Arabidopsis thaliana: one gene and its partner. The protein of the gene in region 1 interacts with the protein of each later gene in a pairwise test. Each region holds a gene or a part of one and is shown on either strand. Other genes may lie near its edges.

Region 1 (6,302 bases):
CCAATCTAGAGCAATGAAAAACAAGACAACTTTTTTGAGAAAAATTCAATCTGCCTTTATAAATCGTCTTTTTTGGTTACTTGGATCTGTTACGTTTCTACAATGAACCAAATTAAACAACTATGGTGTTTTCATTAAGCAAACTAAACAACTACAGCTATATAAGTGGAGATATGGAAAGGGGTCATGTTCCTACATTCCAGAACAAAGGATCATATCTTTATTACTGTGAAAGAAATGACAATTTTTTAAATAAATAAAATGTAATTTCTTCAATTTTGTTTTTTGTAATTTTACAATGAGTGCAACATTTTAGTAAATGTTTTTATGCTATTATACAAATCAAACGAGAATATTAAAATGACATAGTCACGAAATCAAATTTATTGAGAGTAAGCTTGATAAATCAAATTTAGAACTAACCAAATCTTTGACTTTCTTATTTGCTCTCACATTCCTGAACAGTTAGATCAATCGTACTCTCCAACTTTTCTACGCACAAAATTTAAAAATTTGATAGTTTTTCTTTTCATTAAATAAAAGACGAGAAACGGTTATATTTGCCTGAGTAGAAACCGCCGATAACAACAAAGTGGAAAATATGGCTAGTTTGTATTTTTAAGTAATTTCTCGATTTAATTTACTTAGGACAAAAATGTATTTATAGAGAAATCGTGCTTTTATTTATTTATTGAGAAGATTCTTTTTTGTTGTTTTGTAAATATTTATTTAACATTTTTATTGGTACAGTGACTTATGTTTTACAATATAAAGGATTTATAAAAATAAAAATTATTTTTCTTTGTCTCTTAAATATGGATATACCCAAATATCATTTTCCATAAAAATTCGGTGTTATCCAAATCTCAAAACCCTATTTTTCATAGATGTTTTTGTTTCTCTTATAAATTCATCACTGAATCTCTCATGCTCACCATTAATTCTCAGCAATAAAAACAAAGAATGAACGATTCAATGAAAGCTCCAAAATTCTTTAAAAACCAGCTAAAACTAGCGGAAGCACATTATCAAAGAGGTAATCTAAAAGGAGCCATTGAAATCGTGAATGACTTAACGTTTGGTCACCCAAACACATCTTCAAACCACCATGAGATCTCACAGATTCTCCTCGCCTATCAAATCAACTTGACTAGCCAAAAAGCCAGTTTCACACACTACGATATCTTGAGAATCTCAAATCCGTTCTGTAGCCATCAGATGATTCAAAGAAAGTACAGAGACATCTTGGTTAAGCTCTACCCCGACACAAATAAATCTATTGCCGCCAAATCAGCTTTCGAGATTATTAATTATGCGTGGAAGATCTTGTCCGATCCTGAAAAACGAAAAGATTACAATATCAAAAAAAGGTTTAAGTGAAGATGATTCATGTCTCCAGAAGATCATGAACCACATCAAACAGTGAGGCAAGGGTTTCATGTCTTTCTTGGGAATTGGAATACAAAACCTATTTGTTCTTCTTCTTTTTTTAGGTTAATTTTATGATTTTATTTTATTTTATCTAGGTATTAATTCCAAGTAAACTTGTGACAGTTTGAAAGTGCTAATGGATATTTTTACAAACTTTTTTTGAATTTATTTAAATGCAAAATTTACAGTTTTGCTGCCATAATAATTATGATTTGATAAGAAAAGTTACGATTCTAGTAGAGTTTGCTTTTCGTTGGAATAACGTGATTATATTTATTTTATTTTAATACAAGATAATTACATATAATGATATAATATGTTGCGAAAAAAGTCTCTGATTCTTGGGAGAAAAGATTCGAAAAGAAGGAAGGATCCAACAAAATCCGAAATTATTATTAACTGAAAAAACAAAAATTTTGCGCCAGCGTGGCAATACTTCTCTGTCAGGAGGAAGGATCCAACAACCAATAAAACTCCGACCCGGATCCGAACCCGAAAGCACCAGACGACTCGTCCTCCACGATCCCAATTTCTCCAATTTCAATTTTGCCAAAGAGCGAGAGAGAAGGAAGAAGATCCAGACGAAGTGGTTTGCCTTCAGGGAACGAGAGAGAGAAAGAGATTTTAACAAACGATGTCGCTGAGGCCGAGCACACGCGCGGAGCTAAGGAAGAAGATATACAAGACAGGCGTCGATGCCGATGAGGCCAGGCGGAGGAGAGAGGACAATCTCGTCGAGATTAGGAAAAACAAGCGTGAGGATAGTCTTCTCAAGAAGCGTCGTGAAGGAATGATGCTTCAGCAGCAGCTGCCTCTCGGAGCTGGCCTTGATGGTCCCCAGACCGCTGCCGCCGTTGAGAAACGAGTAAGTTCCCTTTGATCTGAATTTCGATACAATTGTGCGTGATTTTGTGATTTGGATCACATGATTTGATTATTTAGTGATGGATCTTTGTTTGATTGTTGAAAAAAGTGAGGCTTTGATTCTGTTTCCTACCTCAATTCTAGATCTCAGCTCCCAATCTCATAATTGACCATCAAAGTTTAGTTTTTTGTTTTTGGGAATTTGTTTATGGATATTTGGGATTGATAGCGGATCCTGGATGACCATGTATGCTGATCGCAATGTATAGTGTGCTTTAGTTAGATATCGGAATTTCTATCTTCTGATCCGATGATCTTGTCAATGGATTGGATGTGTTACATTTCTAGCCAAGGAGAGGTTTTCGTTTCTGTGGAAACAACTGTTTGATTACGTTCATGTGCTTTTGACAGTTAGAAGGTATCCCAATGATGGTACAAGGTGTTTATTCTGATGATCCTCAAGCTCAGCTAGAAGCGACTACCCAATTTAGAAAGTTGTTATCTATAGGTAGGTATACATTTGTTCCTTTCAGAAGCAATTTTCTGTTCTGGGGTTGTATGTGTGTAATAGACTTCTGATGGTTGCTTGTAACACGGTTTGATAAACAGAGCGTAGTCCTCCAATTGATGAAGTGATCAAAGCTGGGGTTATCCCTCGATTTGTGGAGTTTCTTGGAAGGCATGACCATCCTCAATTGCAGGTATGTCTTGTACTTCTTTCATTTTTAGATTTGTTCTTTATTAATTGCACCTTGAAGACTCAAGAATAGTTTGGTGGCTTAATGAAAAGTTTGTTTGCAGTTTGAGGCTGCATGGGCTTTGACCAATGTTGCGTCAGGAACATCAGATCATACTCGGGTTGTAATCGAACAGGGGGCGGTTCCTATCTTCGTTAAGCTTCTTACATCTGCTAGTGATGACGTTCGAGAGCAGGTTTGCCACTAACTAGCTAGATAACTGCGTGCTTCCATTTTGTATATGTGACCTGGTCCACCTGGATACATGCCTCTAAGTTCCGTGGTCGTATTTGGTTTGTTTGTTGTTTGTTTTGATCCTTAGTGGTTTTTCGTGATATAGTCAGCCAACTGCTTTTCCGTAGTCATAGGTGCTATAACTTTTTATGGCTTCGTACAAACCCTTACATGATATCATTGTAGGCGGTGTGGGCCTTGGGAAATGTTGCTGGGGACTCTCCAAACTGCAGGAATCTTGTTCTCAACTATGGGGCCCTTGAGCCATTGCTGGCTCAGTTAAATGAAAATTCTAAGTTGTCCATGCTAAGAAATGCTACATGGACCTTGTCCAACTTTTGTCGTGGTAAACCACCAACACCATTTGAACAGGTATGACTACAGGAATGGCTTCTCTTTGATTTTTCTGGACAACTTATGATTGATGGTTCTAGTTTATTTATTTATTGTTATTATTATATTTGTTTCGTTGTGTTCCTTACTTTACTCAAGCCTAGTGTTGGTTATTCATATGTTTCAGGTGAAGCCTGCGTTGCCAATTCTTCGGCAGCTTATCTATCTGAATGATGAAGAGGTTCTCACTGATGCTTGCTGGGCTCTCTCCTACCTTTCAGATGGCCCCAATGATAAGATTCAGGCTGTGATTGAGGCAGGTGTCTGTCCACGACTTGTGGAGCTTTTGGGGTTAGTTCTTTTTTTCCTGACCAATAATTGACTAGACATTATTTTTGTTTATTTCTCATCATATTTAGTCTCTCTATAAAAGTTTGTCTATCTCAATAAAGGTGTTGGTATCTTCAAATTTGTGATGCTTTTTGAGTATCTTCTGGCAACTGAATGTTGATGTTCTTACTATCTCATATTCTTGTTCCTTTTGTTTATTTTTTTTTTCCTTGGTGCATCTATACTAATTAATATATCTTTCTTCAAGTCATCAATCACCTACGGTTCTCATTCCTGCTCTTCGAACTGTTGGGAACATCGTAACTGGTGATGACTCTCAGACACAGGTATGATTTATGACGAACGACTATTTATGTTGTTTTGGGTATTTGTTTTGAGATTTTGACTATGACTGTGTCTTTGCTTGTCAGTTTATAATTGAGAGTGGCGTACTACCACACCTTTATAATTTGCTGACGCAAAATCACAAGAAAAGTATAAAAAAAGAAGCTTGTTGGACTATCTCGAATATTACTGCTGGGAATAAACTTCAGATAGAGGTATGCGGTTTTTTTGTTGCTATCTCTAATATGTCAAGAAGACGGCTGTTCATGGAAGATATTCATTTCTGATTCTGGAAGAAAAGTGAAGAAGTTACTCTTTTCTTAACTTTTTAGTAGAGCGAGCTAATTTTAGTACTTTCATATTTTCCAATGACTTCTCTGCCTAGAAACCTAATTATACCCTATTTGCTACTGAAAATATTGAGATTAATTAAAGTTTCAGAGGCTAAAAGCAATTTTTTAATCAGTTTATATATTTGAAACAATAGGCTGTGGTTGGCGCTGGAATAATCCTCCCTCTTGTGCACTTGCTCCAAAACGCGGAGTTCGATATAAAGAAGGAAGCTGCTTGGGCTATTTCCAATGCCACATCAGGAGGGTCACATGAGCAGATTCAGTATGTCATCTCTATTCTGAAGCGCATTTGCAAACAACTAACTTCACTTCATAGTGTTCCTTCTTAGTCTTATACCATTATCTATCTCGAAATCGAAAAATGCCATAACACAGTTTTGCATGCAGATATTTGGTGACCCAAGGCTGCATCAAACCACTTTGTGATCTTCTAATCTGCCCTGATCCAAGGATCGTGACAGTGTGCCTCGAGGGTCTTGAAAACATTCTCAAGGTTGGTGAGGCTGACAAGGAAATGGGATTAAACAGTGGGGTGAATCTCTATGCTCAAATAATAGAAGAATCTGATGGGTTGGACAAAGTCGAAAACCTTCAATCCCATGATAACAACGAGATATATGAGAAGGCCGTTAAGATATTGGAGAGATATTGGGCTGAAGAAGAGGAAGAACAGATTCTGCAGGACGGCGGGAATGACAATTCACAACAGGCTTTCAATTTTGGGAACAATCCCGCTGCTCCCGTTGGTGGATTCAAATTTGCCTGAAAAAGGTATACAGTAGTACAAATTGAAATCCTTTGGTTTGGGAAACATGAGATTCAGCTTTTGCAACTGTTATTGACAATTGCCAGGTTCAAGTTCGACTTTTTGAGTTCTGGTGCAAAAAGGCTTATTTTTCTGTTTTTTTTTCTTTTTGTTGTTGATGTTGTCCTTATTTGTCTGAATCATTCTCTGATTCTGTATCTTAAACTCTGCTATGAATTATGTGTAGTGTGGTTTCTGGTTTAGGATATGGTACACTTTGTATTTGTCACTTTAATCTTTGTCGTCGTTATAGTTTAATAACTTTTACTTGGCAAGAGTACAAGTACAAGAAATATTTGATTGCAAAAGAGTCTTCTTGTCTTGTTAATAAAGTCCTCAAATGAATTGGTAAAGGAAAGCTTTAATCTCATCAATATAAGGAGACTTTGTAGGAATGATGTGGCCAAAATCGTGCTCAACAATGGTGGCGCAACCATCTTCAAACAACCCCGCCAGGTCTGAGCTGGCTTGAGTCACAATTTGTCTGTCTTTTCCAGGCTGACTTCCGAATATGTGAAGTGAAGGGCATTTAATCGATCGTTTCTCCTTCATCTCCAACAATGGCCACGGTGTGAAACCCGAGCACAACACGCAGAATCTGAAGTCTATTTCACCTACGAGCTGCTCCTGTTTCCCACATACAGCCGCAGCCATTGCTGCACCTTGAGAGAATCCGAGAATGCCATCAAAAGGCCCTTTCTCTTCAAATGCCGTCTTCAAGTATGTCAACGATTTATCAAACCCTTCAGTTTGAGTCTGATACTGCAATGGATCGAACTGGCATTGGGCCACTGTCCAGCCTGTTTCACTCGGTTTATCAAAATCTGATGACACCAACCACGCAAACTTCTTATTGCATACTCCGGATGG
Region 2 (6,037 bases), on another chromosome or scaffold:
ATGGGCTTCAAGCTTCACCTTGAGGCTTGAGCTAATCGAAATAGATAACGTTGGAGAGAATCTGAAATCACAGCAACAACAATCAGTCAAGTTATTCTTCACCTTGGCGGGTCGAACAAATGTTACACAGTGTGGAGATTTAACAAATTTGGGCCTTGAGCTTTGAACATTAAAGCCCAATATACTTATATTCAACGTTGACGTGAGTTTTGACTTTTCGTTCCCCTAATCCAAAATTGCTTCTAGATTAAGCTATATCTCTCCAGAACTAATTTTCGACACTGCAACTTTTTTGACGCGGAAACAAAATATGAAATATCCTAAATTCCATGGAGTCTCAATCTCATCCTTATAAATATCATCAAAACTACAACCCTTTTTAACGCGGAAACAAAAAACTAAGAACGGTTCCATTTGTTTTCATTGTCTAGAAGAGAAGAAGAAGAAGGATGTGTTTGGTGTTCGTGTGTGATCAGGACGAGAGGGTGATCGGAAGGTACGCAGCTCCTGGAGCGTGTCCGTACTGCGGAGGAGCGGTTCAAGTGGTTGACGTAAATAGCCAGTGGAGATTCTGCTTCGTTCCTCTCTCTAATAAATCCAAACGTCGTCATCTCTGTTCCACTTGCGGCAAACGACTCATCGTCCATGGCTGAAAACAAAACTCCCACCTCATACGAGATCATTTCTATATGTACATATATCCAAATCTCTGACTTGCTTTGTGTATCGTGTTTCTAAACGTTTGTAAGAAAAAGAAAAGAACATGTCTTCTCTTTTATGATTTCTCTGTATATGTATGAATCATGATTATGAAAATGAGAATTTTAAGAAATTGGGATTTTGGAGAACAAGAATGATCACTTGCAAAGCTTGAGCTTTTTGAAGAAAGAAGAGACTTGGGATTTAGGATAAGGCTTTGTAGCAATACACGTCGGAATATTCTCCGGCTGCTCCATCCATAGCTTATGAGAGATTCCTCCTAATTTCAGCTTCTCTGACAAATTCATCATCTGCGTTTCCCCTTTAACTTCCAGAGTCACCTAATCCCCAAAAAATAAAGTGTTTTAATTAATCCACCATTGATTCCGGCCAGAGAACTCTAAAATTAGGGTCATGTTGACTAACCTTATGCATAGAATCAATGTGCTGCGGATCACAGTACTGAAGCGTGACCGGATCGTCTTTGAACGACCAGATCGCTGCCACTGACGCATGACATCCTTGTGTTACAACGCTCCCAAGTGGCCACGAATCGATTAGATCTCGTCGAAGCACAACGTATTGCACCACGACGTCGTCGGGTTTCTCCGCCGACGAAGCATCGACGACGGCATCGATTTCGCCAGTCTGCTGGCTCATTGAAGGAGAAGCCGTTGTGAATCTTCGGAAATGAGCAAATCGGATCGTAGAATGATAAAACCTAATTCGCGGCGCCGGAGCAGAGAGTCGGCGGGTAACTATCGGGAATCGAAACGCTGCGGAGAGGACGGCGGTCGCCATATGAAAGGAAGACGCACATGGACTTTTGCTATTGGATAAGATTTTTCTTAATGGGCTTTTAGTAGACCCAGTTATTTTCTGATGTCTCCTCAATTAAAATCAAATCTAAATTCGCTCTGGTTTATCACTTAAACGGCATAACCAAACTATTTCATTCGCTCGAAATCCAAACCAAATAAATTGATTCTTATTTTCCTGATTACTCTTTTCTCCTTTCGCGGTTGAGATTTTATGATCTTTCCGAACGAAATCAAGCATTCCGACGTCCGTACACTATCCGGCGCTGCTTAAACCGTCTCTCGTCGCCTGTCTGATCTGTTATCTTCTCTACTCTCCGGTGTCGTTGAGTAATCATTCTTTTCTTCTTCTGATAGAGTTAATTTTCTTTGTTATATGTTTGAGGCTGCTGCACGAAATTTTAGCTGTAATCCTCTGAAAACAAGCTCTGCTGATAGGCATGATAGGGTTTCTAAATCAGGCTTGTTTCTGTTTTGTATCGTTCCAGTGTGTTAATACTGAGCAGAAATCGTGATTTCGCTGAGTATAACTCTTGTTGATTTGGTCGCTTTAGGGTTTTGCTTCTCACTCGTTTTTTCAGTGTTGCAATTTGTTTGAATTATAGAATTACTTGGAAATACTAGCTGATTTAGATGTGATGTATGAACATTGAAAATTTTGGTGTAGAGATTGATTATCAACTTCTCTGCTTTTTGGTAGGAGCTTGGTCAAAAGACCTCTTGATAAGCAAAATATGGGAGAAATGGTAAATTACACACCCTTTCCAGGTTTTTTATTTTCTTTTTCCAATTGTTACCTTGAAAAAGGCAGATTCCACAACATTTGCTTTCGTTGCAAATAGATTGTTTCAATGGACCAAGATATCCGACTGGATACAACACGAGCAAGATGTGAGTAAACAGCTTTTCTTGTGCTTCAGATCCTTTTCTTTCTTTTTTTGGTTTAAAGCTTTCTGGTAATAATTAGTCAATCTTTATGCTCCTTTCCTAGTGTCAAACCTTCTCAAGAGGCATCGAGAATTGTCAGACCGTCTTACTAGGTAGGAAATATGCTTTTGAACTATATAGTTCACTTCTCGATCTTTATGTTTGCTAAGTTTGTATTTGGTGATCATTCATTTTAGGGATTCTGATAAGACAATGTTAGATCGCTTAAACAAAGAATTTGAAGCTGCACGGAGATCCCAAAGTCAGGGTGGGTATGGATAGCTGAATTGCAGAATTGGACGAATTATCTAACTGACTTTTTTTTTGCTTCATAAGTATTTGCTCATCCGTGTATCTATTTTAATCAAATGCTGTATTTGCTCCTATCCTCTGCAGAAGTCTTCTTAGATGGGGAAGAGTGGAATGATGGTTTGTTGGCCACATTAAGGGAACGGGTATGGCATCCATCATTGTGTGCTTCCTTTTATTGTCAACATTGTTGTGTACTTAAAAGAGGTGTTCCAAGCCTTGGTATCTAGTTGAAGAAGACTTAGTAGACACTTTAATAAGGGCAGATCTAGATTTGATTATGTCGTTCTGATAAAAAGAGTTATATGTTCTTTGTGCTATGAAATCTTTTATGCCATCTTTTTCTTTTCTTCTGTTGGCTTTATTGAATTTTTCCTGAACTTGACCATGAACTGTGTAGGTGCATATGGAAGCTGACAGAAAGGCAGATAACGGTAATGCAGGTTTTTCACTAGTTTGTCATCCTGAAGAACGAATTACTTACAGAGTGGGAAATAAGGTACTCCTGAGGTCTTACATTCTTCCAAATTTCTTCTGTAGAGAAATTGATTTTGTTTGTACCCAAGGTCTGTTGGTGTAAGCCTTATCTAAGTCTATATAGCACAGAATTTACCATGATTCTTTCAAGATACCCGCAAGGAAGACTACTTCTGTCACAAAAGATATACTATATGGCTGTAGAAATTTCTGGATAGTCCAAAGGAAACCTATCGTTTTGTTCATTCATCTTGGCCGGATGCAATGTTTGCCTAAAAGATAGATCCAATCAGACCAATCTTGGTTGTATACTTGTATATCTTTGTTGAAGAATGTTGATTGTTGTAATGTTGTGTCTTCCCCCAAATTTTGTAGTTGCTACAAACTTTCCTGATTTTAAAGTTTTGACTGACACCTGGCTAATCTTAAGTTTAGAATGACCTCTCACTTTGAATCGATACCAGGTCGTTTTTGCTTATATATTTGGTGTTTTATCAAACAGGTGATATGTTGCCTAGATGGATCGAGAATTGGAATACAGTTTGAAACATCTACTGCAGGTATTTTGAACTATAACTGGCATTTTGTCACAATTTCCAAGTGTTTTTTCTTTACCAAAAATTATTAGCAGTTATCATAATGATTTTTTCTTCAAAGGTTTCTTACCTTTTGGCGTGTCAGTGAAAGAGAGTTAGCTGTTTTGTCTCCATATTTCTATGTATATGAAGACATTGGGACTTTTCCTAACCTTTTCATCTCCCTGTATATGATAATTAAATCCGTTTTATATAGGAGAAACTTACGAGGTTTACCACTGTGTGCTTGAGAGCAAGTCGTTTTTGGAGAAGATGATTGTGCTTGAGCACACAATTCCTTTCTTTTTGCCGCTAAGTGACTTGGAAAATGATCTTCTTTTTTCGAATGCTAAGGTACCTGATCTTCAGTTTATCCTCTTACTTCCTTGTCTCTTATATGTTTTTGGTTTTAACATTTTTCGATGCCAGAAATTCATCGATAATGTTGGGGATCTCCTGCAAGCATATGTGGACAGAAAGGAACAGGTTTGTCAAAAATCTAGATCATGAGTAGATGTTCAAACTTAGATTGTGCTTGTCATATTGGCCTTTTAAATTGTTGTTTTCGGTCATGACTTCTTAAGTTTTTAACCTGCTGGCTTCTTGTTCAATTTGTTTCTCAGTAAAAATACATCAATATGCTCTCTAGATAGCAATGAAAATGGTACTAAAATCATGTGACCAGTTAACTTGGAGTAAGAGAATCTCAGCACTAATGTATCATCAACCTTGTCAGATTAGGATATGAAATGATTTTTAGATGTATTTATTTTATAATGAAAAACGGGGCCAAATAATCTGGTGTGACTATACCGGGTGTGTTGTTATTCACCACTGTCGGTGAAATATGCACCAAAAGTCTAAAGTGTTAGGAACCTCTTAAATTTCACAAGTTAACCAGGATGCTTCTCCTGAATTTCATTATAGGTCCGGCTTATCAAAGAGCTCTTTGGACATCAGATCAGTGAGATTTATCACAGTCTTCCTTACCACATGATTGAATTTTCTATGGATGATTGTGACTGGTTAGCAATTTCATAGATCCATATACTTCCTCTTAACTGCTGCTACACTAGATATTGATGTGGCCATGTTGCCACTTAAAATTTTGTTTTTATAACCTTTTAAAAAACCAGATATGTTTTGGATTATAGCAAGTTCGTGGTGAGCCTTAGATATGGAGATCTTCTGTGTGAACTTCCGACAAAAGTGAGAATTCTAGTATGGCCAATGCATCATCTGTCGAAGAAACAGTGTACAAGCCCTGGAAGTCCAGCAATCCCTGTGCGTTTACCATTTGCCGAGGATGCTTTCCGGATCCAATCACTACCTGAAGGTATTCCTAGTTTAAATAACGATCTGTTTAAGTTATGTTTCTACGGTTTATTTATTCTTTTGTTCATTGCAGCATACGCAGAGATTATGCCGAACATGCCGAATGAAATTCGGCAATTATTTCAGACTAGTCCAAGCTAAAAGTTGAAGCTGTGTGCAAACTTTCTACTTGTCTCGTTGCTTCGTTGTATGATGTTTGATTTTGATCCTTGTTCCAAACTGTTAAAATAGTGCTATGAAGAATACCTTTTACAGAATGGATTTGTTCTGCTATTCTATTCCGGTTAAATTGTGCTGCTTCATCGATTAGCCCATTACTAACTGCTCGAAACAGAAACAGATAGATGTATGAAGTTTTGTTCTCTATGGCATACTGTGGTTCGATCATATCCTTCATGAATTTACGCACTTGAAAGTCAAAAGTGGCTGTAAATCAACTAAACTTATCTACAATGAGAAGAGATATACATTTGTTTTCTTGGTCCACCATTTAGCAATTTTTCATATTAAAGATCCTAGTTGAAGTAATTAAAAACGAAAAGTATGTTACTAAATATGAAATTACGGTGATGGTAAGGAATCCCGGAGTTGTGTTACCCACTTTGAATTATCTTTTCACAAATCCATCCATGCAAAAACTTTAAGAGTCACTACTTATTTTTGTTGCTGTTCCTTCCCCCATCACTTGTCATATCACAATTTAAGAGATTATGCTCCTTAAACATATCGGAACTTAACATAGAAAGTTCTTGATAAATGAAAAATTTGTTCATTGTTTCAATTATTTTTACTGTATGAAAGAATTCAAATGGGTTTGTACTTGGCAAATTACTTTTTGTATTTTTCAATGAGTTTTTTCTCAAAAAAAATTAGTAGTAATACTCAATATATCTACAT

Evidence for each region. Proteins that work in one complex are often made in the same cells at the same time.
Region 2: the proteins of IMPA-4 (region 1) and AT5G10710 interact in a two-hybrid assay, tested with the Arabidopsis thaliana proteins (one large-scale study listed by BioGRID).

The regions. Positions count from the first base shown.
Region 1 is NC_003070.9:2,992,441-2,998,742, forward strand, and holds IMPA-4 (importin alpha), read left to right. Parts: upstream 1-1,890; 5' UTR 1,891-2,065; coding exon 2,066-2,296; intron 2,297-2,706; coding exon 2,707-2,803; intron 2,804-2,904; coding exon 2,905-2,996; intron 2,997-3,096; coding exon 3,097-3,228; intron 3,229-3,452; coding exon 3,453-3,638; intron 3,639-3,786; coding exon 3,787-3,950; intron 3,951-4,197; coding exon 4,198-4,276; intron 4,277-4,360; coding exon 4,361-4,489; intron 4,490-4,761; coding exon 4,762-4,889; intron 4,890-5,014; coding exon 5,015-5,393; 3' UTR 5,394-5,398; exon of another isoform or gene 5,399-5,479; 3' UTR 5,480-5,768; downstream 5,769-6,302. Other genes in the region: AT1G09260 (Chaperone DnaJ-domain superfamily protein), read left to right, coding at 964-1,380; AT1G09280 (rhodanese-like domain protein), read right to left, coding at 5,769-6,302. UniProt on the Arabidopsis thaliana protein: Binds to conventional NLS motifs and mediates nuclear protein import across the nuclear envelope. Acts as a cellular receptor for the nuclear import of the virD2 protein of Agrobacterium and is essential for Agrobacterium-mediated root transformation.
Region 2 is NC_003076.8:3,377,368-3,383,404, forward strand, and holds AT5G10710 (centromere protein O), read left to right. Parts: upstream 1-1,588; 5' UTR 1,589-1,847; intron 1,848-2,217; 5' UTR 2,218-2,251; coding exon 2,252-2,263; intron 2,264-2,359; coding exon 2,360-2,408; intron 2,409-2,508; coding exon 2,509-2,557; intron 2,558-2,641; coding exon 2,642-2,712; intron 2,713-2,840; coding exon 2,841-2,899; intron 2,900-2,958; coding exon of another isoform or gene 2,959-2,975; intron 2,976-3,153; coding exon 3,154-3,252; intron 3,253-3,732; coding exon 3,733-3,790; intron 3,791-4,022; coding exon 4,023-4,159; intron 4,160-4,234; coding exon 4,235-4,291; intron 4,292-4,732; coding exon 4,733-4,830; coding exon of another isoform or gene 4,831-4,846; exon of another isoform or gene 4,847-4,959; coding exon 4,960-5,141; intron 5,142-5,213; coding exon 5,214-5,281; 3' UTR 5,282-5,499; downstream 5,500-6,037. Other genes in the region: AT5G10695 (methionyl-tRNA synthetase), read left to right, coding at 450-653; AT5G10700 (Peptidyl-tRNA hydrolase II (PTH2) family protein), read right to left, coding at 686-734, 862-1,040, 1,126-1,500.